4 linked regions of the Elephas maximus indicus genome follow. The protein of the gene in region 4 purifies or fractionates together with the protein of the main gene of each other region. This does not show direct contact. Links are inferred from orthologs where the notes say so. Each region holds a gene or a part of one and is shown on either strand. Other genes may lie near its edges. The genes, in order: ACTG1, SLC25A5, SLC25A6 and LRRK2.

What was found.
Region 1: the proteins of LRRK2 (region 4) and ACTG1 purify together in Homo sapiens (affinity purification with mass spectrometry; 3 studies listed by BioGRID and IntAct, with this or other methods). This does not show direct contact. The link is inferred for Elephas maximus indicus from reciprocal best matches to the Homo sapiens genes LRRK2 and ACTG1.
Region 2: the proteins of LRRK2 (region 4) and SLC25A5 purify together in Homo sapiens (co-immunoprecipitation; 3 studies listed by IntAct, with this or other methods). This does not show direct contact. The link is inferred for Elephas maximus indicus from reciprocal best matches to the Homo sapiens genes LRRK2 and SLC25A5.
Region 3: the proteins of LRRK2 (region 4) and SLC25A6 purify together in Homo sapiens (co-immunoprecipitation; 3 studies listed by IntAct, with this or other methods). This does not show direct contact. The link is inferred for Elephas maximus indicus from reciprocal best matches to the Homo sapiens genes LRRK2 and SLC25A6.

What each region holds. Positions count from the first base shown.
Region 1 is NC_064837.1:71,371,787-71,378,981, forward strand, and holds ACTG1 (actin, cytoplasmic 2), read right to left. Parts: upstream 3,002-7,195; 5' UTR 2,895-3,001; intron 2,576-2,894; exon of another isoform or gene 2,572-2,575; 5' UTR 2,566-2,571; coding exon 2,443-2,565; intron 2,366-2,442; coding exon 2,126-2,365; intron 1,846-2,125; coding exon 1,407-1,845; intron 1,305-1,406; coding exon 1,123-1,304; intron 1,041-1,122; coding exon 897-1,040; 3' UTR 177-896; downstream 1-176. UniProt on the Homo sapiens protein: Actins are highly conserved proteins that are involved in various types of cell motility and are ubiquitously expressed in all eukaryotic cells.
Region 2 is NC_064846.1:37,412,485-37,419,800, reverse strand, and holds SLC25A5 (ADP/ATP translocase 2), read left to right. Parts: upstream 1-4,311; 5' UTR 4,312-4,472; coding exon 4,473-4,583; intron 4,584-5,572; coding exon 5,573-6,059; intron 6,060-6,273; coding exon 6,274-6,414; intron 6,415-6,805; coding exon 6,806-6,963; 3' UTR 6,964-7,218; downstream 7,219-7,316.
Region 3 is NC_064846.1:180,063,257-180,070,168, reverse strand, and holds the start of SLC25A6 (ADP/ATP translocase 3), read right to left. Parts: upstream 3,021-6,912; 5' UTR 2,909-3,020; coding exon 2,798-2,908; intron 136-2,797; coding exon 1-135. UniProt on the Homo sapiens protein: ADP:ATP antiporter that mediates import of ADP into the mitochondrial matrix for ATP synthesis, and export of ATP out to fuel the cell.
Region 4 is NC_064822.1:94,616,549-94,624,284, reverse strand, and holds the start of LRRK2 (leucine-rich repeat serine/threonine-protein kinase 2), read right to left. Parts: upstream 3,012-7,736; 5' UTR 2,403-3,011; coding exon 2,249-2,402; intron 1,992-2,248; exon of another isoform or gene 1,991-1,991; coding exon 1,905-1,990; intron 1-1,904. UniProt on the Homo sapiens protein: Serine/threonine-protein kinase which phosphorylates a broad range of proteins involved in multiple processes such as neuronal plasticity, innate immunity, autophagy, and vesicle trafficking.

The sequences.
Region 1 (7,195 bases), on a different chromosome or scaffold from region 4:
AAGATTCAGCTGGGTTCAATAAAGGTCCAAAGAGACTAGTGCTTGTCTTGAAATGCTAATTATACTAAACCAAAATCGCTGCCAAGTTGTCCGGTATGCAGCCCAGTGTGGCTCAAGAGACCTCCCACCCGTCCGCCCGCCCACCCCGCCCCCCAGGAACTGGAGCCAGTCGCCGGTTCACTGCAGCACTTTATTTCTCCTTAACACAACGCCGCGTTGCTGGGGCCTAATGTTCGCACATGACAATAGAAAAACCAAAATTTGTTGTCATCTTAGAGTTGAGAACTGCGTACAAAAACCTCACATAAATTAAAAGGATGAATAAATTTACAGGTTTAAATGCAAATCATCTTCCAACTCAAGGCAAGTTTTAACAACCCACGGTGTTCCAACGGGAAAACATCAGCTAAGAGAGGAAACTGGGTCCTAAGGCTCAGATTTTTCCAACCCTGTCAAGGCTGGCAAGACAGAAATGACAACTGCTTTCCAACTCTTGCCAGCCTCTGGAAATCCTGGCACCGTCAGCTCTCCGCATTAATACCCTGCACAGACCGCGAGGTCAGTGAAGCAGACACTCGCCACGCCAACAATTTCACCACACCATGTCATCCCTCACCTTGGCCATGGGATGACCAGATCACACGAACTAGGGGTTTAAATCAAAGATATGTACAGGGTATTAAACACAGACCAAGGGAGCAGTTAACTTGAATACAAGGTCAAGGTCAGCAACAAGTTCTATGATCCAGTGCTGATATCAAGATACAGGCTTCAAGGACAATTTCTTTTCAAAGGCTTCTTCCAGTTTCACGAGGCTAGCATGAGGCGTACAGGTGTGCAACCTGCACTCGGGAATGGGCTCATGCGGCAGGTGGTGGCACCTGCTGGCAGTCCGTCTAGAAGCATTTGCGGTGGACGATGGAGGGGCCCGACTCGTCGTACTCCTGCTTGCTGATCCACATCTGCTGGAAGGTGGACAGCGAGGCCAGGATGGAGCCGCCGATCCAGACCGAGTACTTGCGCTCAGGGGGAGCAATGATCTGCACGGGTGACAAGAGAGGCGTTAGCAGCACACTGGGCCCTGCCTGCCCACGCCTAGGTCACAGCCCCCTGGGGACCTACCTTGATCTTCATTGTGCTGGGCGCCAGCGCTGTGATCTCCTTCTGCATCCTGTCAGCAATGCCGGGATACATGGTGGTCCCGCCAGACAGCACCGTGTTGGCATACAGGTCCTTCCGAATGTCCACGTCACACTTCATGATAGAGTTGAAAGTGGTCTCGTGGATGCCGCACGACTCCATACCTAAGAAACAAAGTTCTCCCTTAGTGGTCAACAGCCACACTGCTTGTCCTCTTCAGGCTACTGCACGTGAAGAGCCTCAAGGCTGAGGCACCGGCCACCTACCTAGGAAGGAGGGCTGGAAGAGGGCCTCGGGACACCGGAAACGCTCGTTGCCAATTGTGATCACCTGGCCGTCTGGCAGCTCATAGCTCTTCTCCAGAGAGGAGGAGGAAGCGGCTGTGGCCATCTCCTGCTCGAAGTCAAGGGCTACGTAACACAGCTTCTCCTTGATGTCACGCACAATCTCACGCTCAGCCGTGGTGGTGAAGCTATACCCTCGCTCGGTCAGGATCTTCATGAGGTAGTCAGTCAGGTCTCGGCCTGCCAGGTCCAGACGCAGGATGGCGTGGGGCAGGGCGTAGCCCTCGTAGATGGGCACAGTGTGAGTGACACCATCGCCAGAGTCCATGACAATACCGGTGGTTCGGCCAGAGGCATACAAGGACAGCACCGCCTGGATGGCCACATACATGGCTGGCGTGTTGAAGGTCTCAAACATGATCTGCAAAGGAAGCAGAACGTTAGTCAGAGACAACGACTGCTAATGCCCCGTGCTACACGCTACATGCCACATGCCCCCCATGTGATGTGTGAAGAAAGGAGAGGGAAGCAGGCAGAAACACACGAGAAACCTGGAGGCTTCAAGGAGGAAATGCCAGAAGAGGAACAGAACCCTGGAAACAGCGAAAGAAACACTTGAATTTCAGAAAATAAAAACAGTAAGGCAAAACACGATTCTAAAGATAGAAAAAAGGGATTCATTGACAAAACCAGACAATCACCTGGGTCATCTTCTCCCTGTTGGCCTTGGGGTTCAGGGGTGCCTCAGTCAGCAACACCGGGTGCTCCTCGGGGGCCACACGCAGCTCGTTGTAGAAAGTGTGGTGCCAAATCTTCTCCATATCGTCCCAGTTGGTGACAATACCGTGCTCGATGGGGTACTTGAGAGTCAGGATGCCTCTCTTGCTCTGAGCCTCATCGCCCACGTAGGAGTCCTTCTGGCCCATGCCCACCATGACGCCCTGCAAGAGGCCGACCGGGTCAGCTCCCGCAGCTCAGAGTGCCCGGGACCCCATGAAAAAGAGCGCCCCCTACTCACCTGGTGCCGGGGGCGGCCAACGATGGAGGGAAAGACGGCGCGGGGGGCGTCGTCGCCAGCAAAGCCAGCTTTACACATGCCAGAGCCATTGTCGATAACCAGGGCGGCGATCTCTTCTTCCATGGCGATCTATCTACAGACGTTACCGATCAGGCGGACCCTCGCGCTCCAAGACGCCAGACTGCCCCCCAAGCGCGCAGCCCAGCCCGGAAGGACGGCCGGCCCCCAACCGCCAAGACCCGGCTTCCAGACCTCGATGGAACCATCCCTCATGGCGCGAGGCCCGGGGCTCCGCAATGCGGCCCGCCGCCCCTCCCCCGGGCGCAGCCCACCAGCCCGGCCACCCCAGGAACAAAAGGCCGCCTCTCCGGCCGGAGCGGCCTGCGGAGGGCGCCGCCAGGACCTCGCGGAGACGACGGCGCTGGGTTGGGGCGCACAGACCTGACCCTTACCGGAAAAACAAGGAAGCAGCAGCGAGCTTTAACCACAGACAGAGACAAGCCCTGAGCGTCGGAGGAAAGTGAGACCGAGCGCGGCCTCCCCCGCCGCTTTTTAAGGGGGCGCGGGGCGCGCGCGCGGAGCGGCGGCGCGCGCGGCCCAGAACATGGCCATATATGGCGATCTTGGAGAACGCCGGGCGCCCATTGGCCGTTCCCGCGGGGGCACGTGGGGCCCCGCGCCCCGCCCTACCCCCGCCCGCACCGCCCCCCAACAGCCCCGCCCGCGCCGCCCCGGGCGCCGGGGACCCCGAGCCGGGCCGGCGGAGGGACGGACTGGCGGGGCAGGGCGCGGGGTGCGGCTATCCGGGTGACCTGCGGGGGTCGCTAGGAGGGCTGCGGGGTGACCGACCCGGCTCCACCTCGGGACTGTCGCGCCGTGGAGGAGGGGCCGGGCTGCGCCCCGAAACTGCTTGACCCGGGCCTGGGCCGCGCCCCGAGCCGGGATGTGTCCCCGCGGTTGGGCCTTGTTTGGAGGCTTTACTCTCCAGGCGCCCCCAAGGAGCCTTCCTCTCAGGCTGCACTGAGACCCGTGGCCGTGAAGGCCGGTTCCCGGTGCTGGGCTGGGGGAGGGAGCCGGAATTGGGGTCCCCAGCGCCCTGGGTCCCGAGGCCGAGGGGAGCCGTGACCTCGCTTCTGAGCCATAGGAAGGATCCGTCCGCCCCCTAACGCGGTGCAAGGCCCCCGCTGCGGGAGGAGGGGGCGCCCGGCCCCGGTCCCCAGGGGTGTGAGCCAGAGGCCCCTTTCCCCACACCCGACACGTCCTGCGATACATTCCCCCAAAAGCAGACCCGCTTGTCCTTGGACGCCGGCCCCACCCGGGTTTGAGGTCAAGCCCCATCCGCGCGGCGCCCGCCTTTGTTTCAATGTTATCACTTGGTGCACGTTATAGGGAAGTAGAGGCAGGGGGAGGGAGTCCCCACTCCCTGAACGATCGACCCCAGATCCTGGATGGGCTGGGGGGGGTGCCACCTGCTCCTCTGTCGTCTGCTTGTGAAACAAGGAAAGTCGGGGAGCTCCCAGGCAGAGACTGCCTGGTGCTCTGGGCCTTGGGTCCGCACAACGCTTGAGCCCCAGCTCCTCCAGGCAGGCGCCCCTTTCCTCCGTCCTGGCGCTAGGAGTTCTCCCAGCCCAGGGCGAACCTTTCTCAGCAGGAACCTGCATTGAAAGACCTGTCCCCTGTCCTGGCAGGGTCCTGACCCCATCTGTGTGTGCAGATGCTTCAGTTACACTCTGAGATACTGTGGAGCCAGGTACTATGGTTTCCTTGTGCTTATCTGGAAACCCTTGGAACTGCTCAGAGAAAGCATAAAAGGGCATATCCCTCAGAAGGGTGGCCGTGGGCTGGACACAGAATGGGAAAGAACTCGTCCAAGGTCACGGGACACGTAGGTTTTCAGAGTCGGGTCTTGGATGCCTGCCTCCGAAGTTGTGACCCTGGGGGAACACTGATAGCCAGTACCTGGCTCCCCAGGTACAGCACACATCTTCTCTGGGTGCCCTTAGCCATGCAAGGTAGCCTCATGACCGCACTTCTCAGGTGAGGACGCCGGGCTAGGCGCGGCAGAGCAGCTGGCCCTGGCAACACCAGAAGCCGAGGCCTGTGCCCATGGCCAACAGGTCACCAGGCTGAAAGGCAGGGTGCAGGATCCCCAGCCTCCTAGATTTTACAGGGGCACTCTCAAGGCTGCTTTCCATTGGGTCCAGGCCCCACCAGGGGACGACCCGAGCTGGGCCTCCAAGAAGTCACCCGACTCCTGTCCCCTGTCCTGGGCACAACCACAGGCCTGCTAGGTAGGCATCAACAGTGGGGGTACGGCCGTTCCACTTGGGGGTTCCCAAACTCTATGCCACACACGAGGGGAACAGGAGAGGAGAGATGTAAGGATAAAGCCGCCTCAGCCTGTGCCCACGCTCTGCTCTGCTAGGACCCCTCGGCTCCCAGTGGGGGCGGGGCGCCTGTCCCCTCCACGGACTCGGGTTTCCTCTCAAACGCCTTTGTGTGTGCTGGGAGGCGGGCTGCGGCCCACTCCCAGCCTGCTTCTGGGGACAGATGGACCCTCGATCCCCGCCCCTACCCTTCCTTCCGCACGTCCACCGGGAGGACAGGACGCCGCGGCAAGGTCAGAGGGCCGTGGGGGCGGTGGCCGCGAGCCCCCCGCCCGGCAGGGCCAGGGCGGCGCGGAGGGGGCGCCCAGGCCGGCCGGCTAGGGGGGCAGCTACTTCCCCTTCCGCGATGTGTCACCGGCGGGGGTGGCAAGGTGCGGCCCCAGGTGCGCTGGCGGGGGGCGGTGGCGCGCGGCGCGGCCATATTTGGCGATTTCGGTGCCGCCGCCCCGCCCGCCGCCACCGCCGCCGGGAAGCCCGCGGTCCCGCCCGCCTCGGGACCTGAGTCACGGGCGAGCGGGCGGGGCGGAAGTAACGGCCGGCGCCGGCGCGCCTCGCCTTATTTAGGCAGGAGGCCGCGGATTGGCCCGCAGGACAAAGGGGTGGTGCGGGGAAGCCCTGCTGGGCGGCGGCCTCCACGCCTACCCGCGGCGGGGACCCGGCTCGGCCTACCAGGGTTTTGGGTGTCGAGGCCCCAGAGGCGAGGATCTGGGGGGGGTGGGGGTCAGATGGCCAGAGGGGTTGGGGGTGCGCAGCTGGATGCCCGCATAGGGGCGCGGAGGCCGGGCGCCGCTGGGACTGCCGTGGCTCCAGGTGTAGCAGGTCTCCTAGCCCTGGGGCGGAGGACGGCGGTGGGCACCGTATTCTGCGATGTGGTTTCGCCGCCTCGCCCAAGGTTACCTGCTGGGGCGGTCAGAACTGTGCTTTTGGAAGTGGGTGGCGCAGGCCGACCCCACCCCTCCAGGAGCTGGAGTGGAGAGGCCGTCCGTGGACCGTATGGAGGTGGCAGCCCCTGGCTGGGGTGAGCAGGGAGGCTCTGGGAAGGGCTGGGGGAGGGAGAGCCGGCAATTGAAGCTGAAGGGGTGTGAGTGTCCCTTCTCAGGAAGAAGGCTTAGGACTCAGAGAAATGGCCTTTTTTTTCCCTCCTAAAAAACCCCTAAAACTCGCTGCCGTTGAGTTGATTCCAACTCATTGGCATTCTATAGGACAGAGTAGAACTGCCCCATAGGGTTTTCAAGGCGGTAATCTTTACAGAAGCAGACTGCCAGATCTTTCTCCCTAAGAGCTGCTGGTGGGTTCAAACAGCCCACCTTTGGGTTAGCAGCTGAGTGCTTAGCCACTGTGCCACTATTAGCTTGGTACTGGCTTTGGTGGCTTTTTATTGTGGCCTTGCTGTGTATGTTTCCCAGCCATTTAACAGATGAGCAGACAGTGGCTGGGAAGGTAGTGTCGTCCTGCTGTGCAATGTGCTGGGCCTAAGATAGCCTGGGGCCTCCCTCTAGGCCCTGGGCACTGCCCTCTGGCACCCCGGCTTAGGGTCCTTCCCATGAGTTCCTCCAACACTGATGTCAGCCTGTCATCTCCCTGTCCCAGCCCTGGAATCCGTGTCACCTCTGCACCTGGTAACATGGCCCCCCAGCTGACCACCAGACAAGGCAGGGCCTCGGGAATGATTGCCCATCCTGGCCTTTGTCTCTGTCGGCCCAGTCTCCCCACCAAGTTCCAAGGGTTGGATTCTGTAACAAAACAAGGACACTGTGGGGGGAACGGTGACATCCAAATGAAGTATGGAGTTAATAGTAACATACCAGTGCTAACCTCTTAGTGCTGACGACTGGATTGTGATTAAGATGTTAGCTTTAGGGGGAACTAGTGGGTGGGTATAAGGCACTCTGCAGGATCTTTGGACTTTTCTATAAACCTAAAATTATTCCAAAATAAAAATGTCCAAGGGGGAAAAAAAAGTACCTACATCAGCTCATGTTCCTAACCTTTTTCCAGCCTCTGTGGACAGATCAAATGTAAGGTGACTGCCCTGTTCCTGACTGCTGATGCCCTCTCCAGGTCCCGGAGCCCACTCCTACAGGGCAGGGGCAGCCCCTGGCATGGGCCTCGTCTGCCCGGGAGGGCAAGGCCAAGCCTATCTCCCGCCTGCTGCCTAGGCATGCCTCAGTTCTCCTGTTGTCACCACGCAGGCTGAAGCACAGGTGATCTAGATGGCCCTGTACAAATGGTGGCGTGGGGTCATCTGACCTCTAAGCTCCAACTTCACAAGTGGAAGGAGAATCAAGATCAACAGCCCAAGGCTTATTTCTATGAGGCAGATGTCAGACATACCTCCTTTCTCCAACCTTATTACCAGTTCTGAC
Region 2 (7,316 bases), on a different chromosome or scaffold from region 4:
AAACATCGATATCGTAGGCATTAGTGAGCTGAAATGGACTGGTATTGGCCATTCTGAATTGGACAATCATGGAGTCTACTATGCTGGGAATGACAACTCGAAGAGGAATGGTGTTGCATTCATTGTCAAAAAGAATGTTTCAAGATCTATCCTGAAGTACAACACTGTCAGTGATACGATAATATCCATACGCCTACAAGGAAGACCAGTTAATACGACTATTATTCAAATTTATGCACCAACCACTAGGGCCAAAGATAAAAAATTGAAGATTTTCATCAGCTGCTGCAGTCTGAAATTGATTGAACATGCAATCAAGATGTATTGATAATTACTGGTGATTGGAGTGCGAAAGTTGGAAACAAAGAAGTAGGATCAGTAGTTGGAAAATATGGCCCTGGTGATAGAAATAATGCCAGAGATCGAATGATAGAATTTTGCAAGACCAACGACTTCTTCATTGCAAATACCTTCTTTCACCAACATAAACGGCAACTCTACACATAGACCTCACCAGTAGGAACACACAGAAATCAAATTGACTACATCTGCGGAAAGAGACGATGGAAAAGCTCAATATCATCAATCAGAACAAGGCCAGGAGCCGACTGTGGAACAGACCATCAATTCCTCATATGCAAGTCCAAGCTGAAACTGAAGAAAATCAGAGCAAGTCCACGAGAGCCAAAATATGACCTTGAGTATATCCCACCTAAATTTAGAGACCATCTCAAGAATAGATTTGACGCACTGAACACTAATGACTGAAGACCAGACGAGTTGTGGAAGGACATCATCCATGAAGAAAGCGAGAGGTCACCGAAAAGACAGGAAAGAAAGAAAAGACCAAGATGGATGTCAGAGGAGACTCTGAAACTTGCTCTTGAGCGTGGAGCAGCTAAAGCAAAAGGAAGAATTGACGAAGTAAAAGAACTGAACAGAAGATTTCAAAGGGTGTCTCGAGAAGACAAAGTAAAGTATTATAATGACACGTGCAAAGAGCTGGAGATGGAAAACCAAAAGGGAAGAACACACTCGGTGTTTCTCAAGCTGAAAGAACTGAAGAAAAAATTCAAGCCTCCAGTTGCAATAGTGAAGGATTCTATGGGGAAAATATTAAATGATGCAGGAAGCATCAAAAGAAGATGGAAAGAATACACAGAGTCATTATACCCAAAAGAATTAGTCGATATTCAACCATTTCAAGAGATGGCATATGATCAGGAACTGATGGTACTGAAGGAAGAAGTCCAAGCTGCTCTGAAAGCATTGGTGAAAAACAAGCCTTCAGGAATTGATGGAATATCAGTTGAGATGTTTCAACAAACAGATGCAGTGCTGGAGGTGCTCACTCGTCTATGCCAAGAAATATGGAAGACAGCTTCCTGGCCAACTGACTGGAAGAGATCCATATTTATGCCTATTCCCAAGAAAGGCGATCCAACCGAATGTGGAAATTATAGAACCATATCATTATCACACGCAAGCAAAATTTTGCTGAAGATCATTCAAAAACGGCTGCAGCAGTATATCAACAGGGACCTGCCAGAAATTCAGGCTGGTTTCAGAAGAGGACGTGGAACCAGGGATATCATTGCTGATGTCAGATGGATCCTGGCTGAAAGTAGAGAATACCAGAAGGATGTTTACCTGTGTTCTATTGACTATGCAAAGGCATTCGACTGTGTGGATCATAACAAACTATGGATAACACTGCAAAGAATGGGAATTCCAGAACACTTAATTGTGCTCTTGAGGAACCTTTACATAGATCAAGAGGCAGTTGTTTGGACAGAACAAGGGGATACTGATTGGTTTAAAGTCAGGAAAGGTGTGCATCAGGGTTGTATTCTTTCACCATACCTATTTAATTTGTATGCTGAACAAATAATCCAAGAAGCTGGACTGTATGAAGAAGAACGGGGCATCAGGACTGGAGGAGACTCATTAACAACCTGTATATGCAGATGACACAACCTTGCTTGCTAAAAGTGAAGAGGACTTGAAGCACTTAGTAATGAAGATCAAAGACCACAGCCTTCAGTATGGATTACAGCTCAACATAAAGAAAACAAAAATCCTCACAACTGGACCAATGAGCAGAACATCATTGTAAATGGAGAAAAGATTGAAGGATTTCAATTCAATTGTCAAGGATTTCATTTTACTTGGATCCACAATCAAGAGCCATGGAAGCAGCAGTCAAGATATCAAAAGATGCATTGCATTGGGCAAATCTGCTGCAAAAGACCTCTTCAAAGTATTGAAGAGCAAAGATGTCACCCTGAAGACTAAGGTGCGCCTGACCCAGGCCATGGTATTTTCAATTACATCATATGCATGTGAAAGCTGGACAATGAATAAAGAGGACCGAAGAAGATTTGATGCCTTTGAATTGTGGTGTTGGCAAAGAATATTGAGTATACACCATGGACTGTAATCTGTCTTGGAAGAACTGCAGCCAGAATGCTCCTTAGAGGCAAGGATGGCGAGACTGCGTCTTACATACTTTGGACATGTTGTCAGGAGGGATGAGTCCCTGGAGAAGGAGATCATGCTTGGCAGAGTACAGGGTCAGCGGAAAAGAGGGAGACCCTCAACGAGGTGGATTGACACAGTGGCTGCAACTATGAGCTCAAGCATAACAATGATTGTAAGGATGGCGTGGGACCAGGCAGTGTTTCGTTCTGTTGTGCACAGGGTCGCTATGAGTTGGAACCGACTCGACGGCACCTAACAACAACAACAACAATCTACTTGAGCTAAGAAGCACACTCTTCATGAGTAACATTTTATATTTTATAATCCAGTCTAATCTTTGTCTGAAGAGTTGGCTTCAGGAATGATTTTAGTTCTGGGTTAACAGAGAGTCCCGGGGTCAGGTCTTCTGGGGTTCCTCTAGTCTCAATCAGACCATTAAGTCCGATCTTTTTACTAGAATTTGAGTTCTGCACCCCACTTTTCTCCTGTTCCGTCAGGGACTCTCTCTTGTGTTCCCTGTCAGGGCAGTCATTGTAGGTAGCCAGGCACCATCTAGTTTTTCTGGTCTCAGGCTGGTGGAGTCTCTGGTTTATGTGGCCCTTTCTGTCTCTTGGGCTAATATTTTCCATCTGTCTTTGGTGTTCTTCATTCTTGTTTGCTACAGGTGTGTTGAGAATAATTGATGTGTCTTAGATGCTTGCTCGCTACCTTTTAAGACTGCAGACGCCACTCACCAAAGGGAAATTAGTTTTAAATGGTCGAATGATGTGCTACAAACTAGTGATGAAAACTGCCATGGCCAATAGAAACTGCTCCTTAGCGCCCCTCCTCAAGCAGTGTCCAGGGCACATGCCCTGCCTGCCATACCTTAATTACACCTCTGCCAGGCTTTGGGTTCTCCTGAGCCAATTTCTGGCAAGATCTTTGTTAAACTGTATTTGCAAACCAGGGTCTGGTACAAGCCGGCAGTGTTTCCACTCTGCTGTGACCGGTTACCCCAACCTCCTCTGGCTTCATTGGTGAAGCTCCATGGCAGGGCCAGGAATAGGGTGACGAGAGTGAGGCACTCACTTCAACACAAAATTTAAGGGGGGGGTGGCGAGCCAAAACAACTCGGTAATCAAGATAGATAATTTTTAATGCAGTATTAAAAAATTTTTTTTTTTATTTTAAAGAATGAAAATTAATGCAGAACATTCGGGAATGGTTAAGGGTGATGAACAACATGATGGACATGTTTAACGGCACTGAACTGTACATGTGAAGAATGATGAAACGGCAAATGTTTTCTTACCTGTATACTTACCACAGTAATAAATGAATGCAAAAAATCCACGATTGAACATACTATCAAAATTGCAAATAAAGACAGGATCTGACCCTGCACTTGCATGTCCCTGCCTCACTTGCCTCCAATTAAGCTTTATTTTTAAAAAAGCAGGTGATTGGCCCACCGGCCATAGATTGCTTATTGGAATTTTTTTTTAATATTGCTTTAAAATACTATTTGTTGCGATTACTGAGTTTTTTGGCGCCCTCTTAAGTATTGTGTCTGAGACGAGTCCCTCACTCCCCTCACCCTGGTCTTGGCCCTGCTCCAGGGGGGTTTGTCCAAGCACACGTGATCTCACCCTTTTTCCCCCCTTGAAGGGCCCGCCCCCTTCAGGCTCCAGCGCCCAGATCCTGGGTATTCCCTGGGCCCGCCCCGTCCTTCTGCCGGACCAGGTGCTGTGGCGGCCCAGAGCCGCGGGGAGAGCGGCGCCCTGGCGGGTCCCAGAGGTTCGGCCCTCCGCGCCCTGAGCCAATCAGCGGTGCTGCCGCCCCGAGCGCCGCGGCTCAGCTCCCGCTCGGGGCCCGCCCCCAACGCCGGCCGCCTTGGCGCCGGCTCTCCGTATATAAATCAGCCATTTGCTCTGCTCCGCCCCAAAGCCCCGGAGTCAAAGCCGGTTTGTGTCCCATTGCTGCTGTCGCCTGCCTTCTTTTTTTTCAACATGACAGATGCCGCTGTGTCCTTCGCGAAGGACTTCCTGGCAGGTGGAGTGGCTGCGGCCATCTCCAAGACCGCGGTAGCGCCCATCGAACGGGTCAAGCTCCTGCTGCAGGTAAGTCCAGGGGTCGCGAGCCCAACCAGGAAGTGGGGAGGGGTCGCGCACAAAGCCAGGGTCCCCAGGGGCGAAGGGGAGCCAACTCTAAAACGTGTCCGGGGAAGTGACGGGATGGGGCGGAGATCGCGACAAAGTCGGACCAAACGGCCAACACGAGGGACTTAAAGTTTAGGTGCCTAGGAAGGGCTCGGGATGGAGGGAGGGGAGGAAGGCCAGGCGCTCAGCATCCCGGATGCGGCAAGTTGCGAGCGACTATCTCCCCGGGCTTTGGGGTCAAGGGCGAAGCCTGAATGCAGGCGCGAGAAAGAGGAGCCCCGGGCCTTACGGAGGACCTCAAGGTTGCGGCAAGGAAATAACAGCCCGGGGGAGGCCAAGCCGGCCGGTCCCATGCCCCCCAACGTGGGTGGCGCGCAAACCTTGCCGGGCCGGAAGTCGGTGCCGGGAAGCGCGTGTGCTTCTACAACCTCCCCCGCGCAGCCGCCGCCTCCCGGCCAGCCATCCTACGCCTCGCCATTCTCCGCTCCGGCTCTAGAGGGAGCTCCTGGGTGAAAGTCGGGGTGGCGGCACAGTCGCTTCTAGGAGAGGAGCTGGGGCGGAGCAGGAGGGAGGCAGTGCAGGAGACCTGAGGTATAGGTCATCAAGGTGACCGCACCCTACCTTGGACTCAGTGCCCGTGAACCTGGGTCTGAGGTAATGACCTTTCTCTCAGATAGAAAGGTGACAGTCTTCTTGAGGGTGCCCCCTCTCCACCCAAATGGGTGGAGGCTTAATGCCTGTAAGGGTGCATGTCACCTCTTCCACCTGAGACAGCTTCAGGGCTTAGGAGGGTCCAACCTGTATGATACCCAAGGCTAGACTTGTTGCGGGGGCGCGGGGCGGGGCGGGTAGCTAACCTTAAAGGACATTGATTGAGATGATATCTTCGCCTCCCTTTCAGCTTCTACATGGTTATAAATGTCCCTCTTGGCCCGCTTGTTCTCTCTCAGGTGCAGCATGCCAGCAAGCAAATCACTGCAGATAAGCAGTACAAGGGCATTATCGACTGTGTGGTCCGTATCCCCAAGGAGCAGGGAGTCCTGTCCTTCTGGCGTGGTAACCTGGTCAATGTCATCCGATACTTCCCCACCCAGGCTCTCAACTTTGCCTTCAAAGATAAATATAAGGAGATCTTCCTGGGTGGTGTGGACAAGCGGACCCAGTTTTGGCGCTACTTTGCAGGGAATCTGGCATCAGGTGGTGCTGCTGGGGCCACATCCTTGTGCTTTGTATACCCTCTTGATTTTGCTCGTACCCGTCTAGCAGCTGACGTGGGTAAAGCTGGTGCCGAAAGGGAATTCAAAGGCCTCGGTGACTGCCTGGCTAAGATCTACAAATCTGATGGGATTAAGGGCCTGTACCAAGGATTTAATGTGTCTGTGCAGGGTATTATCATCTACCGAGCTACCTACTTCGGTGTCTATGACACTGCAAAGGGTAAGTTTGCGATGTACTTTGAAGCTGCATTGTTAAGAGACCATTTATAAAAGATTGTTATGCCAGCCTAATTTTCCAGAGATTTTTTTTTTTAATTGCTTAAGAAAGCCAGGGTCATCCAGTGTAGAAATGAGGAAATGTTTGGGGGTTGTGGAAAACCACAACTAAGTAGAACTCTGCTTTTTGGTCAAAGTGTCTCCTTTCCTTTTCTCAGGAATGCTTCCAGATCCCAGGAATACTCACATCATCATCAGCTGGATGATAGCTCAGACCGTCACGTCCGTGGCTGGGTTGACTTCCTACCCATTTGACACTGTTCGTCGCCGCATGATGATGCAGTCAGGGCGCAAAGGAAGTAAGTTCCACCTGAGCAGGAGATAGTCAGAGACGTGGGCATGGGGCAAGCTGTGGCCACAAACTGGCAGTGCCTGACTTTAAAAATGGCAGTCTTTGGATCCTGGGTTGGGACTGATAGCTTCTGTGTCACAGCTGCCTTTGAGTAGGCTGTTAGATGACTGAATGAGAGTGCTTAAATGGTCCTAGAGGTTAAGACCAATGGGTTGTTTGCATATCCCTATTTTCTAGTCACAGCATTAATAGTTGACGATTGCTCACGGGAATGTGTAAATGTTGGGTTTACAAAAATGGACACTAGCTTTTAGGGAGGCAGGGCTCCCTTCTTGTCCTACTGAGTTTTCGGCCTTTCATCTGCCCTCAGTCACCAATTCCATGTTTATTCTTTGCAGCTGATATCATGTACACAGGCACACTTGACTGCTGGAGGAAGATTGCTCGTGATGAAGGCGGCAAAGCTTTTTTCAAGGGCGCATGGTCCAATGTGCTCAGAGGCATGGGTGGTGCTTTTGTGCTTGTCTTGTATGATGAAATCAAGAAGTTCACATAAGTTTATTTCCTACTTTGTTTACCCCTGTGAACAGGCATATTGTGTTATATATAACATATCTTGAACATTCTTGACAGACTGTTGGCTGTCTATCAACAGCAACTATCTGCTGGTTGAAAATGGGAAGCAATAATATTCATCTGACCAGTTTTCTCTTAAAGTCATTTCTGTGTTGATGACGATGGGACTCAGTTCTGTTTTTTATTTCAGTCACTCCTGATAAATAAAAAGTTTGAAGAAATAAAAATATCTGAAATGCAGTTTTTGCTTGCTTGCAGTTTATTTTTACATACATGCTACAGCTATGGGTCTAAGCTTCTGGGATGAAGAGCTTTCTTTGAAAATCAATCCTC
Region 3 (6,912 bases), on a different chromosome or scaffold from region 4:
GAAGTAGCGGATGACGTTGGCCAGGTTGCCCCGCCAGAAGGACAGCACGCCTTGCTCCTTGGGGATGCGCACGATGCAGTCCACGATGCCCTTGTACTGCTTGTCGGCCGCGATCTGCTTGCTGGCGTGCTGCACCTGAGGGACAGAGCACAGGGCACCGTGAGCCCTCGGTCCGCACACAGACACCGCACGCATCACAAAGGAGCGTTCTTACAAAACTAATGTCGCTGACCTGACTGCTCACTGTCCTGACAGTTTACAGAGGCTACACCTGAGGGCCAGAGCACAGGACGCCGTGAGGCCTCAGTCTGTCCAGAAACACCCATGGCAGCACTAACGGCTTGTACTCGGCTAACTAAATGGCTGGCAACTTTAAGTCACCCAGGGGTGCTGTGGGAGAAAAGCCTGGTGCTCTGCTCCTATAAATACTACAGCCTAGAAAGCCCTACAGAGCAATTCTACCATTTACATGTAGGGTTGCCGTGAGTCAAAATCGGCTGATGAGAATTTTCTTTTGGGGGGGGCGGGATTTATTCAAAGAACAAGCACTTTTTATAAATGTAGTGTCACTGGCATGTCTGTTCCCTGCCTGCAGGATTTGGAGGTCTTGTACTCGAGATGGCGCAGGACTGGTCAGTGTTCCGTTCAGTTGTGCTTAGGGTCGCAACCGACTCAATGGCACCTAACAACAACAACACTTGAGAGCCAGAGGACAGAATGGTGAGGGCACTGCAGACCAAGGCCTGAATCTAAACCCAGAAATGCCCTTATAAATCAACAAGTGTTTTTATAAAACCAGTGTCGCAGACGTGACAGTTCAAACTCCCCTGATCAAGCGGGAATCTCTAGGTCCCTCCTGCATCATGGGAGCCTCTGAGTGCCACAAATGGTGAAAGGTTTGTCTGTTCACCAAAAGGCTGGCATTTCATACCCACCCAGACGTGCCTCAGAAGAAAGGCCTGGTGACCGACTTCTGAAAAATCAGCCACTGAAAACCCTATGGAAGTAAGTATTTCCACCGATATACATGCGGTTGTCCTGAGTTGGAATCAAGGGCAAGTGGTTTATTCAACCATAAGTCTGGAGGCCCAATCTTTATAAGCAGTTACTGTAACTTTAGAAATTCTGTCCTAACAACCGTCTTATAAGTAGCTTGTTACTTTTGGTAACAACATCAACCCGAGGCCACCACTTCCTACTCACACAGACCATATAGCATGTAACAGAACCACCCCACAGGGTTTCCAAGGCTGTCACCTTTACGGAAGCAGACCAGCACAAAAGTAAAGATAAAGGAGGTTACAAGTCCACTGCGGACCAGCGGCTGCATAAAGACAGTAATGAAAACAGAATCCCCCCGCCCCCGGCCCCCGCCGCCACAGGTGTGCTTGGGACTAGAGACTGCTGAGTTTCCAGAACAGAAATCTGTGCTTAGAGAGTTAATTTTTGAGTGAATTCCATTTGGATGGAGATGAATTCCTAGACAGACAGCTTTTGCCAGCTCCCACATACGATGTGCTGTTCAAGTCTGAAATCACAGATACAGTAACTCCTGTGAACAAATGCTGCTGCACCCATTTCAACCCACGTTGTGTCAGAGTAGAACTGCACTCCACAGGGTTTCCAGTGATTGGTTTTTTAGAAGCAGGTTACCAGGCCTTTCTTCCAAGAGACCTCGGGGGCAGGGATGCAAACCTCCAACTTTTTGTTTAGCAGCTGAGCCCAGTAACCCTTTTCACCACCTCAGACCAGACCAAATCCGCTGCCATCGAAGACGATTCCCACTCACAGCAACCCGGTAAGGACAGAGCAGAACTGCTCCATAGGGTTTCCAAGGCTGTACATCTTTACCAAAGCAAACCCCATCCTCCTCCTGTGGAAGTTGGTAGGTTTGAACCCCCAACCCTTTGGGTAGCGCAGTGCCACCAGGGTTCCTCTTTTCCGGCCCGGGGACTCCTGGAAATCAATTGTCGTGGAGTTGACCACGACTCAGGGACACCTCGTGTTGTGTCAGAGTAGAACCGTGGGCTGCAGGGTTTCCAATAATTGACCTTTTGGAAGCCGATCACCAGGCATTTCTTCCGAGGCGCCTCGGGGTGGACTAGAACCTCCAACCGGATGGCTAAGAGTCTAGCGCTTCACCGTTTGCATCGCCCAGAACGAGTTCACTGTTGTCAAAGAGACTGACCCAGAAACTGACTTTCTGAGCTCAAATTTCGGTTCTAAGAACTGTCAAGATCATCTACGCCCACGTACACCTGTCAAAATCCACAGCCGATGTGAATAACCCACAGGAGCCCCTTCCAGACACTGTCTGTGCGTCCCTCCTTGCTCGGGAAGGACGTGTGCACACGTGGGGTTTCTTTGGGCTCCCCAACCCACGATTCAAGTTCAAGGAGAAAAATGCACTTTAAAGGACCCCCTGCCCCGGGACACAGGGCACAAGGGTGGGCACTGGGGGCGGAGGTGGCCCCAGCTGGGGGTCAAAGCTCCCCAGGGACGGTCACCCTCCCAAGGTCACGACATGCCCGCCCCAGAGTCGCTCTGCCCTTCCCGACCCGGGCGCCAGAGCGCATGCGCGCCCGGCCCGGAGCCCGTCCCCGCCCCCACGCCTGCGGCGACGCCCCACGTGACCCGCCATCGCCCCGCCCCGGAAGCCGCCGGCGCGCGGACAAAGCGGTCGCGGCCTTGCACTTCCGGTGCCGGTCCCGGTGCTCGCGGCCGGCCCGACCCGGTCCCCCGCGCCCTGTCCGCGCGGCTCCCTCCGGGCCCGGGGTCCTGCCCACCCGCCGCCCACCTGCAGCAGCAGCTTGACCCGCTCGATGGGGGCCACGGCCGTCTTGGAGATGGCGGCGGCGATGCCGCCCGCCAGGAAGTCCTTGGCGAAGGAGATGGCCTGTTCCGTCATGGTGGCAGAGCGCGCTGCGGAGCGGGCGGAGAACTGGAGTGGACGCGCGAGGGCAGGGAAGGTGGGCGCCGCTGGCTCTGCCGCCGCCGCCGGGACCGAAAGGACGGGCCGCCTACCGCGCAGCCGCTAAGGCGCCCAGGCCCCGCCCCCGCCCCCGCCCGCAGCGCCTATTGGCCGCCGCGCCCACCGGCGCCCCGCCCCTCGCCGCGTGCCGCGCCCCCGGGGGATGCCGGGAGTCGCCGCGTGCCCCGCCCCGCGCCCCCGCGCGTCCTGCCCATTGGCCGCGCGGCCGCCACGCCCCGCCTTTTCCTGCGCTCGGTGGCCCCGAGGCATGCTGGGAGCCGGGTCCCGCCCATGCGCCTTGCGGGCGGGGGGCTCGGCTGCAGTGACCTTTTCAAGGTCACTGGGAGCGGGGAGGTTTGGGGGGCTGCCCCCGGGGCGCGCCGTCCGCGGCCTTCCACCAGGCCCGGGTGCCCGCGCGCATCCCCGGGAAGGGAGACAAGGCCAAGGACCGGAAGCTGCCGTGCTCCCGACCCCCGCTTTTCCCCCAGGATGGAGCCTTTTAATGGGGGGCGGACGCGTCGTCCAGTGAAACCCTCAGACCCTGCTAAAGGGAAACACGTTTTTGGGGGGCGGCCTGATGCCCCTTCCTCGCGCTAGGGCGCCCCGACCCCGAGCGAGGCTCCGCCTGTCGCCCCTCCAGGCTCACCTGGGGGCCCTCTGCCCCCGCCCCTTAACTCCCGGCACCAGCCCGGTGGCCTTTATGGGGCCTGGGGTCCTTTGCTGCACCCCCGCGGGGCTCCCCCTCCACCTGCACTGGCGCCCACCTCCCCCAGGCCACCGAGGGGCTTCTTCCCCACCTTACCCCTGTAAGGCCCAGGGCTGACCTTTGGGGACTTGGAGATGAGCAGGAGGTCATAAGCTGCCCATATTACACACACTGACATACACCCCTTACGCCCACCCAGAAAGTAAGGTTGTGAGGGCAAGATGTTTTAAGATACTTTGAACTTTTTTTTTGATGTAAAAAAGAAAACAACCCCATTGCCATCCCTTGGATTCCAACTCATGGCGACCTTATAGGACAGAGTAGAACGCCCCCATAGGGTTTTGTAGGCTGTAAATCTTTACAAACTGACATATCTTTCTTGTGCAGACCACCTGGTGGGTTCGAATCACCGACCTTTCGGTTCTCAGCCAAAGGCTTTAACCACGGGGCCACGATCACCCAATGAGTTTTCACAAACTGAACACAGTCCGGTAAGAAAAGACCCTTACCAGCAACCCAGAATGGTTCCTGGGTGGTGTAAATGGTCAACACACTCAGCTGCTAACTGAAAGGTTGGAAGTTCAATTCCATTCAGACGTGCCTCAGAAGAAAGGCCTGGCAACCTACTTCCAGAAAAATCAGCCACTGAAAACCCTGTGGAGCCGCGTTCTGTTCTGACACGTCGGGGGGTCACCATGAGTCAAGTTTGATTCAATGGTAGCAGCTCAGAAGCAGGGTCCTTTTTTCTTTTTTTCCTTTCTCCCTCCCTTGCTTCCTTTCTCTCTCCTTCCATTCTTTCCCTCTCTCCTTCCTTCCCTCCCTGTCAGTCCCTGGCACTGAATGAATGGGCAGATGGAATGGAGCCACACAGAAGAGCTCAGGGCACGCCACCCTGCCAATTTCACGGTCCAGTGTGTTATGAGGAGCCCTGGAGGCAGAGTTGGTGCAGTGGTTAAGTATTTCATTGCTAACCAAAAGGCCGGCTGTTTGAATCCATCAGCCGCTCCTTCGAAATCCTATGGGGCAGTTCTCCTCTGTCCTGTAGGGTTGCTATGAGTCAGAATCGACTCGACGGCAACAAATTTTTGGTTTTGGATGTGTTTTGAACTTTTTATTGATCTGTAACATACAGAAAATTGCACAAGCACTCGAATTTTCACGAAGAGAACATAGTCCTCTCAGAAAGACCCTTAGTAGCAAACCAGAAGTGTCCCTGGATGGTGCAAACAGTGGACATTCTCAGCTGCTCACCAAAAGGGGCACAGTCCAAGGCCCTGAAGCAATGGGTGAGGGGAGGGAACCAGACACAAGAGCTCAGGCACCCTGAGCCTATCCACTTCCCAGGCAGCAGTGTCCTTTAAATGCCTTTCTTAGTCCTCTCTTGACCTCTGCTGTGAGGCAGGTAGGGGGCAGGGCTTGAGGCCTCCACATTCCACAGGCTTCAGCTGGCTTGGAGGCAGAGGCTGTACCTGGAGGGTGTGCCCGGCTGTGGGCAGGGACAGGGTGTCTGCTCAGGGACCTTGTCTGGGCACTGGTTTCCACCAGATGTTTCTCGTCTTTGCAGACTCAGCCTGTCTGGGCTGGAACAGACCCAGGAGACGGTTATCACTGCCCTCGCCTGAGCCTACAGGGCCACGGAGCTGGAGTGTGAGGTCCAGCTGGGACTCCCAGGCCCTGGAATGTGGTGTATCAACTTCAGTGCCACAGACTGTGTGGTACAGAAGAGAGCGTTTGTAATATTTACAGGAGTCCTAGCGGCACAGTGGTTAAGAGCTATGGCTGCTAAACAAAAGGTTGGCAGTTCAGATCCAACAGTCGCTCTTTGGAAACCCTGTGGGGCAGTTCTGCACATCCTACAGGATCGCTGTGAGTCCGACTCGAATCCACAGCAATAGGTTTTAATGTTTATGGAAGCAGGTTCCCTCGGAGCCACTGAGTGGATTTGAATCACCAACCAGGGCTCTTTCCCATAAATAGACACATTAAAAGATTTTGGGTTTTAGCTGATGGCTTGGAATGAGTAGTGCAGTGATGTGGCTGGCAGTTTTTTCTTTTTTGGGGGAGGGGGATAGTAGGAACTGTGAAATTCTTGGGAATCAGCGTTCCATCAGGTGCTGCCTTCAAAGGTCTCTAGTGACAACAGGGAGGAGGCTGGACAGGGCAGGGCTGAGGGGAAGGGCCAAGCTCCATTTACTTAGGTGTGACAGGAAAACCTGTCAAGGCCAGAACCTGTGTAAGGCAGAAACCTGTCCGAGAATGGAAACTCAAATATTTCCCACTAATAAAAAGTGTTAGAAAAGTGGTAAGACTGCACCCTGTCGAAAGCAGAAAACTTAGGAGACCCAGAAAAAGAAAGTAGTCCTGTCAGAGTTCCCCCTTGCACGGATTTCACTATAGTATATGACTTATGGTTGGAGCCCTGGTGGTGCAGTGGTTAAAAGCTTGGCTGCTAACCCAAAGGTCAGCAGTTCGAATCTGCCAGGCGCTCCTTGGAAACCCTGTGGGGCAGTTCTCCTCTGTCTTGTATGGTTGCTAGGAGTCAGAATCGACTCCACGGCAGTGGGTTACATAACTTAGGGTTTGTGCCGCTGCCTCCGCAGAACCCCGGAATAAGTCCAGAGGGTAGTTTTTACTAAGTGCTGTGTTGCAAACAGAACAGTCCCCAAAACCCCGGGGTTGTGGGTAGCAGTTAGCAGGGACAGCTGCTTCGTGTTGTCCTTGGCTGGCAGGAGTCAGGGTTGCTGTTGGGTCACCTTGGGCCCCAATCTCCACTTCCTTCCAGCCCGGCATCTCAGCCAGGGCCCTTCTTGTTCCCTCAGCGCCGCTGTGCAAGGTGAAAGAGTCTAGGAATAATGCCTTCCTGGGCTGTGCTCCAGGAAGCCTGGTGGCATAGTGGTTAAGTGCTATGGCTGCTAACCAAAGGGTCGGCAGTTTGTATCTGCCAGGCGCTCCTTGGAAACTATGGGGCAGTTCTACTCTGTGCTATAGGATCACTATGAGTCGGAATCGACTCCATGGCACTGGGTTTGGTTTTTTTTTGGTTGGACTGCGCTCCACGCTGGCACCCATTCTCTGCCCCTAGGTGTCCTGGGCCATCCCATAGGTGCTGGGTTGATCAGGAGATCCTGGGTTTGAGGCTAGTCGCCCAGAAGAGCGGCTCCCTCCTGGGCTTAGTTCACTTAGCAGGCTGGGACATAGTGGCTGGCAGAGACTGCCCCGGCCTCAAGGGCTTTTC
Region 4 (7,736 bases):
TAGAGAGACCTGTTTCTACATCCCTTTGATAAGAGTGATGTGAATCAAAAATTACAATGTTTCTGTGCCTAGTATGGCCACAGTGGTTGTACCAAAACATTGTGCTTTTGTACTTGCTTACATGAAAAGTCTGTGATATTCAGAAGCCGTGGACAGTATGACGGAAGAGGCTTCAAAGTTACGAGAAGACTTGAGTTAAAGTCTTGGCTCTGCTACTAGCTGGGTGATCCCAAATAAGCCATTTCCTCTTGCTGAGCTTTTATGAGAGGAAATTATCCAGTGAGATTTCTGAACAGGCAATGGTATCAAATGATATAATATATACAATGCCCTTTGCAGGCTTAGATGGTGCTATAATTAATAATTCTATTCCATTAAATTATCAAATCAGAAGACAATTCCTTACTTCCCTCCATATTTTGTCTCTAGTACCTACTGGGCCAGAATATTGAGTGATACTCATAGCTACTACAGAATAGTGTGACTCAGGTTTGGGCAGTTTCTAAAGTGAAGAAGAATCAGATGGGAAGTATGTTCAGGTTCCCTTGGGGTCTCAAGCCTATCATGGCTTGCTCTGGACTCTGTAGACCAAAGCCCACCTAGGATCCCATTGTCCTGAGTGGTACTGAGCAAGGTGACTCTGCCAGGCAGAGTCCAGGAATGGAGGCTGCCAGAACCAGTCACATGAACATGGAGGCGAGGGAAATGGGGGTAGGTGGGTGGAGAGCAGCAAACACGGTGGACCAGTGCCTAAAATGTGATTCATGTTCCATGGGCAAATTCAGACCTCGAGTGCTAAAAAGAGCAAGCATCCTTATCATGCCTCTAGCTTTTCTTGGTTTTGTTTAATAGTAGCCAGGAAATCAATAGTCAGATGGAAAACATTTCATAGTTGAAGAAAAATAAAAGAAACCATTTATCCCAGATATGAATGTGCTTATATAAAAGAAGTTAGATACTTAGTATCAGACATAGCTGATATAGAGATAGAGACAAAGATACATAAACACAATGACAGAGAGAGAGAATTCTTACCCCTGTGTGGCATCTCAATTAGACAGGAAGAAATACTGGCTTTCTGTCTACACCTCCACAGAATTCAAAGTTTAATTTTATTTTCCATCAGGACTTTACAGATGACAAAGCTCATTTCAGTTCCCCAAATCTCAAAAGGAAGTTATCACCTTAGTCAGAAATTTGTTTTTACCGTAAATCATTCTTACTTACCATCTTAGGTTTCACTTTTTAATATACCTAAGATATACTAACTCGATTTTTTGAGTTTCCTATGACACCGATTCTAAAAATTTCAGTTTTATATTCAGTTTACATGGGAACACAAAAAATAAACATATAGGGGAATCCTAAAACATCACTTTCATTAGACACAAGGCAAACTTTAAAAAGGCTAGGTACTTCACTGTCTTCAAACTAAAATTTTTTTAAAAATCTCTGAAACCTATGAGAATTTGCCAGTTACTTAATTGTGTTTTATTACTGTTAATTATTCCCCTTTCCCAAACTATTGGCAATGGTGTCAAATCTAGGACATAGCTCTGCACTGGGAAAATCCTAAGAATAATTCAGTCTAAACACCCTGAAACTCATCTAGCCAGTAACAGAGTACCTCAACCCATTACTATTCTCCCCAGCCCCCAACCACGTTCTGCCAGTCAGTTTTATTAAGTTACCTTTTAATGACATTCTTGGAACTCCGGGCAAGCACTTTTACACAGTTAACATTAGATAAAGATTTGACAATACTCTCATCTTAAAATCACTGTCAGAGGTTCATCAAGCCAAATCTCAGAAATAACCAGGAACTCCAGGTATATAACTTTGACAGAAAAACATCGCTTTCCAAAAAGAAAGGGCGAAAGGGCAGAATGAAAGCAGCTCCTTACCTGCTGCACACCCGCGACTCTTATGTAGGAGTCCAGGACGATCAACAGAGGCACGTGGATATTTTTGCCTTGAAATAACTTGGAGGCTGGAAAAGAAGGGGGTGAGGGGAAAGAAGCAAAGTCAGTCACAATTCACAGCAGCCCTTTAATGTCCCAAAAAGGGGGGGAAGCAAATACGAGGTGAGCTCAAGATCTTCCTGGAATTCTCAGCTCCTTTCCGCTTTAAGGAAAGGAGTAGGGAGTTTGAGGCTTCTCAGGAGTCCTGGACTGAGCAGCTCCAAAGGGCAAGGGAGAAAGTTTGCAAAAAGGGGTGAGGGTGGAGGGAATCATTCCCTAGTGATTACCGTGGTCGGCGTACGTCAACACCAAAATATCCTCCAGGATTTGGACCAGCGTCTCAATCTGTTTTCCTTCCTGGACATTGTTCAGCCTGACTATTAACTTCTTCAGAGTTTCCTCGTCCTCCTCCTCGCACCCCTGACAGCTGCCACTGGCCATGATGGCCCCTGCTGTGTATCCGCTGCCCCTCCGGGCAAGGAGGCCCGCTGCTCAGACAAGGGGCTGGGGCTTAGGCCACTGTTCCGGGCAAGTACAGCTCACTGCTGGCAGCCCGTACGCCCCATGGGCACCCGCTCCGGCCTGTTTATGAGAAAGGCGGCGTCTCCACGCCCTGCGCTCCCCTCCCTCTCCTCGAGCCTTCCTCCTCCGCCGCCCAGGCCCCAAAAATGAGCTCGGTGGCCTGCGAGAGGCTGGTAGAAAGCTGAACCGTGGCACGGCTGCCGAGGCGGGGCTCCAGGGGGGGCCGGCCAGACGACTGTGGCCCCGGAGCCCACTGCGCTGGGAACCCCCGGGCGGGCGCCGCCTCCTTGGCCCGATCTGATCCCACTCGCCGAGGCAGTGCAGCAAGGGAGTCGCGCAGGAAGAAACTGACTCAGCGGAGTCCGCCAAGTGCCCCAGACCCGGAGTCCTGCAGCGGTGGGGAGGAGGCTTACAGCCTGCAGCCGGCAGGTTACGGTCCCAGACCGGCCAACCCGGGCTCCTTTGGGCCCACGGAAAGTGGGATCTCAGAAGAGGAAAATGAAAGCCGCCTATTTCCAGATCTGAGAATAGAAATCAGGGCTTTGGGAAAAGAGGACACCGCCCAGTCGGCCCCTTTTAGGGCAACATTCTCTTTAGGGTTCCACCTACAGGGAGATGCATTAATTTCTCCGCAAGGATGGAGATGTTAGCAGTCAAAATTTGCCTAGCTAAATTCTTTTTTTGTGATTGTTGTGCGTGGAGATAAAAGGTGCTTTTTCTGTTATTTGAAAATCTGGTTGCCAAACCAAAAAAAAAAAAAAAACACCAAACCCATTGCCTTGAAATCCATTCTGAGTCATAGCGACCCTATAGGACACAGTAGAACCGCCCCATAGGGTTTCCAAGGAGCGGATGGTGGGTTCCAACTGCTGACATTTTGGTTAGCAGCCAAACTCGTAACCACTGCGCTGCCAGGGCTCCAAAAGGCCACTAAAAATACCTTGAAATTTTGTGTTTGCACTAGGAAGATTCCTGATAGTGGACATGCCAAAAGTAATCAATTCTCTGTACTATTAAAACTGAAGAGAAAGACAGGGTAAATGAAATGACCAGCAGAAAAGGTGAAACAAACAAGCCAAAAAATATTGCTCTCTTACTATTAAGAATTACTAATGAAAATGGGTGTCTATAATCAAAAGTTTTTAAAAATGGACCAAAGTAATGTGTTTTTCAGGAAGGGAAACCAGTTAGAAACACTGTAGACAAGGCACTTCTACACTGTAGACAAAAATGATACTGTCTTCAGGCCAAGGCAAACCACAAGGTAAGGGCTATTTACACAGGAGAGGATTGAACTGGAAGTTAGAACTTCTCAGTTTTTAGATTCCTTTCACATCTGTTACCTCAGTCTAATGATAATTCTGAAATGCACAAGGCAGCTACAATTTCTTCTTCTTTTACTAATGGAAAATTGAGATTTGAGATGTTAAATGAAGAGATTTTCCTGGGTCAAACAATGGGAAGTTGAGAGCTGGAACTTAAATCCAGGTAGAATGTCTAACACCAAATTGAGTGCTCTTTTTCTTTACATTCTGCCATTTTAATCAAAATGACCTAGCTTTACTTCAAACATTAGGTTAATAAAACAAGTTTAAATTCAACCTTGGTATTGTGAATGTTTTGCCGTTGTTGTACATTTTTCCCCCCAAATTTTATTTTGTTATTGTTGTTGAGAATATATACAGCTAAAGACACAGCAATTCAAGTTTCTATATGTACCATTTATTAATACCAATTATCTTTTAAAGACACACGCTTATCTATTTACAGTTAAAATAATATAATGATGAGGATTTGCTTCAAAGTAACCCAGTGATGGGGGAAGGGATGAAATGGGTGGAGGTAGTGATGCAAAAACACCAACTTTTGAATTGATAATTGTTGGAGATAGCTTCATGGGGTTTATTTTACTATTCTCTACTTTTTATAAGATATAAAAGTTTCCATATAAAACTTAAAACACACACAACTCTCATACTTGTAGTTGTTATCATACCTGCTGTATATGCCTTCCTAACTGGTTTCTTATGTCATCTTTTGACTACCTACTCAATAACTCATATTTCTAGGAAGTCTCCCTTTTATGTCTCCCTTCCCAAACTACTGGTTTATTATCTTGCAAGAGATTGAAACCTAACTGCCTTCTAAGAGAAAGTCAATCTAAGTATAAAAGATTCCTTTTCTTTTCCTCAATCAATATTCATTATTCCATCTATTTTCTATACTATATTAGAGTAACTGGACTCTGTGAAGAAGAATATGGCATCAAGATAGGTGGAAGACTTATTAAGAACCTGAGATATGCAGATGACACAACCTTGCTTGCTGAAACACTAAGCAGACTTGAAGCACTTACTGATGAAGATCAAAGGCTATAGCCTTCAGTATGGGTTACACCTCAATATAAAGAAAACAAAAATGCTCACAACTAGAATAATAAGCAACATGGTGATAAACGGAGAAAAGACTGAAGCTGTCAAGGATTTCAGTTTACTTGGATCACAATCAACACCCATGGAAGCAGCAGTCGAGAAACCAAATGATGTACTGCATTGGACAAATCTACTGCAAAAGACCTCTTTAAAGTGCTGAAAAGCAAAGATGTCACTTTGAGGACTAAGGTGTACCTGACCCAAGCTATGATATTTTCTTTTTTTAATCTTTATTGTGCATTAAGTGAAAGTTTACAAATCAAGTCAGTCTCTCACACAAAAACTTACATACACCTTGCTACAAAGAACCCAGTGCTACATACTCCCAATTGTTCTCCCCCTAATGAGACAGCCCACTCCCTCCCTCCACTCTCTCTTTACGAGTCCCTTTCGCCAGCTTCTAACCCTCTCTACCCTCTCATCACCCCTTCAGGCAGGAGATGCTAACATAGTCTCAAGTGTCCACCTAATCCAAGAAGATCACTCCCCACTAGCATCCCTCTCCAAACCATTGGGCAGTCCAATCCATGTCTGAAGAGTTGGCTTCAGGAATGGTTCCTGTCCTGGGCCAACAGAAGGGGTGGGGGCCATGACCACTGGGGTCCTTCTAGTCTCAGTCAGACCATTAAGTCTAGTCTTATGAGAATTTGGGGTTTGCATCCCACTGCTCTTCTGCTCCCTCAGGGGCTCTCTGTTGTGTTCCCTGTCAGGCAGTTGTCTGTTGTAGCCAGGCACCATCTAGTTCTTCTGGTCTCAGGCTGATGTAGTCTCTGGTTTATATGGACCTTTCTGTCTCTTGAGCTCGTAATTACCTTGTATCCTTGATGTTCTTCATTCTCCTTTGATTCAGGTGGGTTGAGACCCATTGATGCATCTTAGATAGCTGCTTTCTAGCGTTTAAGACCTCAGACGCCACTCTCCAAAGTGGGATGCAGCATGTTTTCTTAATAGATTTTATTACGCCAATTGACTTAGATATCCCCTGAAACCATGGTCCCCAAACCCCTGCCCCTGCTACACTAGACTTCAAAGCATTCAGTTTATTCAGGAAACTTCTTTGCTTTCGGTTTAGTCCACTTATGCTATCCTCGCCTGTATTGTGTGTTGTCTTTCCTGTCGCCTAAAGTAGTTCTTATCTACTATCTAATTAGTGAATACCCTTCTCCCACCCTCTCTCCCTCCCCCCTCTTGTAACCATCAAAGAATATTTTCTTCTCTGTTTAAACTATTTCTCGAGCTCTTATAATAGTGGTCTTATACAATTGTTGTCCTTTTGCAACTGACTAATTTCACACTCAGCATAATGCCTTCCAGGTTCCTCCATGTTATGAAATGTTTCACAGATTCATCACTGTTCTTTATTGATGCATAGTATTCCATTGTGTGAATATACCATAATTTATTTATCCATTTATCTGTCGATGGACACCTTGGTTGCTTCCATCTTTTTGCTATTGTAAACAGTGTTGCAATAAACATGGGTGTGCATGTATCTGATCGTGCAAAGGTTCTTATTTCTCTAGGATATATTCCAAGGAGTGGGATTGCCAGATCGTATGGTAGTTCTATTTCTAGCTCTTTAAGGAAGCACCAATTCTATTTCCAAAGTGGTTGTACCATTTTACATTCCCACCAGTGCTGTATAAGTGTTCCAATCTCTCCATAGCCTCTCTGACATTTATTATTTTGTGTTTTTTGGATTAACGCCAGCCTTGTTGGAGCGGAAAACCCTGGTGGCATAGTGGTTAAGCGCTACGGCTGCTAACCAAAGGGTCAGCAGTTTGAATCCACCAGGCGCTCCTTGGAAACCCTATGGGGCAGCTCTACTCTGTCCTATAGGGTCGCTATGAGTTGGAATCAACTCAATGGCACTGGGTTTGTTTTTTTTTGGTTTTTAAAGGCTAATGATCGTGAGCATTTCCTCATGTATCTGTTAGCTACCTGAATGTCTTCTTTAATGAGGTCTGTTCATACATTTTGCCCATTTTTTAATTGGGTTATTTGTCTTTTTGTAGTTGAGTTTTTGCAGTATCACGTAGATTTTAGAGATCAGGCGCTGATCAGAAATGTCATAGCTAAAAATTTTTTCCCAATCATAGGTAATCTTTTTACTATTTTGATGAAGTCTTTGGATGAGCATAGGTGTTTGATTTTTAGGCGCTCCCAGTTATCTAGCTTTTCTTCTGCATTCTTTATAATGTTTTGTATACTGTTTATGCCACATATTGGGGCTCCTAACATTTTCCCTATTTTTTCTTCCATGATCTTTATCACTTTAGATTTTATATTTAGTTTCTTTGATCCATTTTGAGCTTGTTTTTGTGCATGGTGTGAGGTATAGGTCTTGTTTCATTTTTTTGCAGATGGATATACAGTTATGCCAGAACCATTTGTTAAAAAAGACTGTCTTTTCCCCATTTAATACTTTTGGGGCTTTTGTGAAATATCAACTGCTCATATGTGGGTGGATTTATGTGTGGGTTATCAATTCTGTTCCACTGGTCTATGTATCTGTTGTTGTACCAGTGCCAGGCTGCTTTGAATACTGTGGTGGTATAACAGGTTCTAAAATCAGGTAGAGTAAGACCACCCACCTTGTTCTCCTTTTTCAGTAATACTTTACTTATCTGGGGCCTCTTTTCCTTCCATATGAAGTTGGTAATTTGTTTCTCCATCTCATTAAAGAATATCATTGGAATTTGGATCGGAATTGTATTAAATGTATAGATCGATTTTGGTAGAATAGACATTTTTATAATGTTAAATCTTCCTATCCAGGAGCAAGGTGTGTTTTCCCACTTATGTAAGTCTCTTTTGGTTT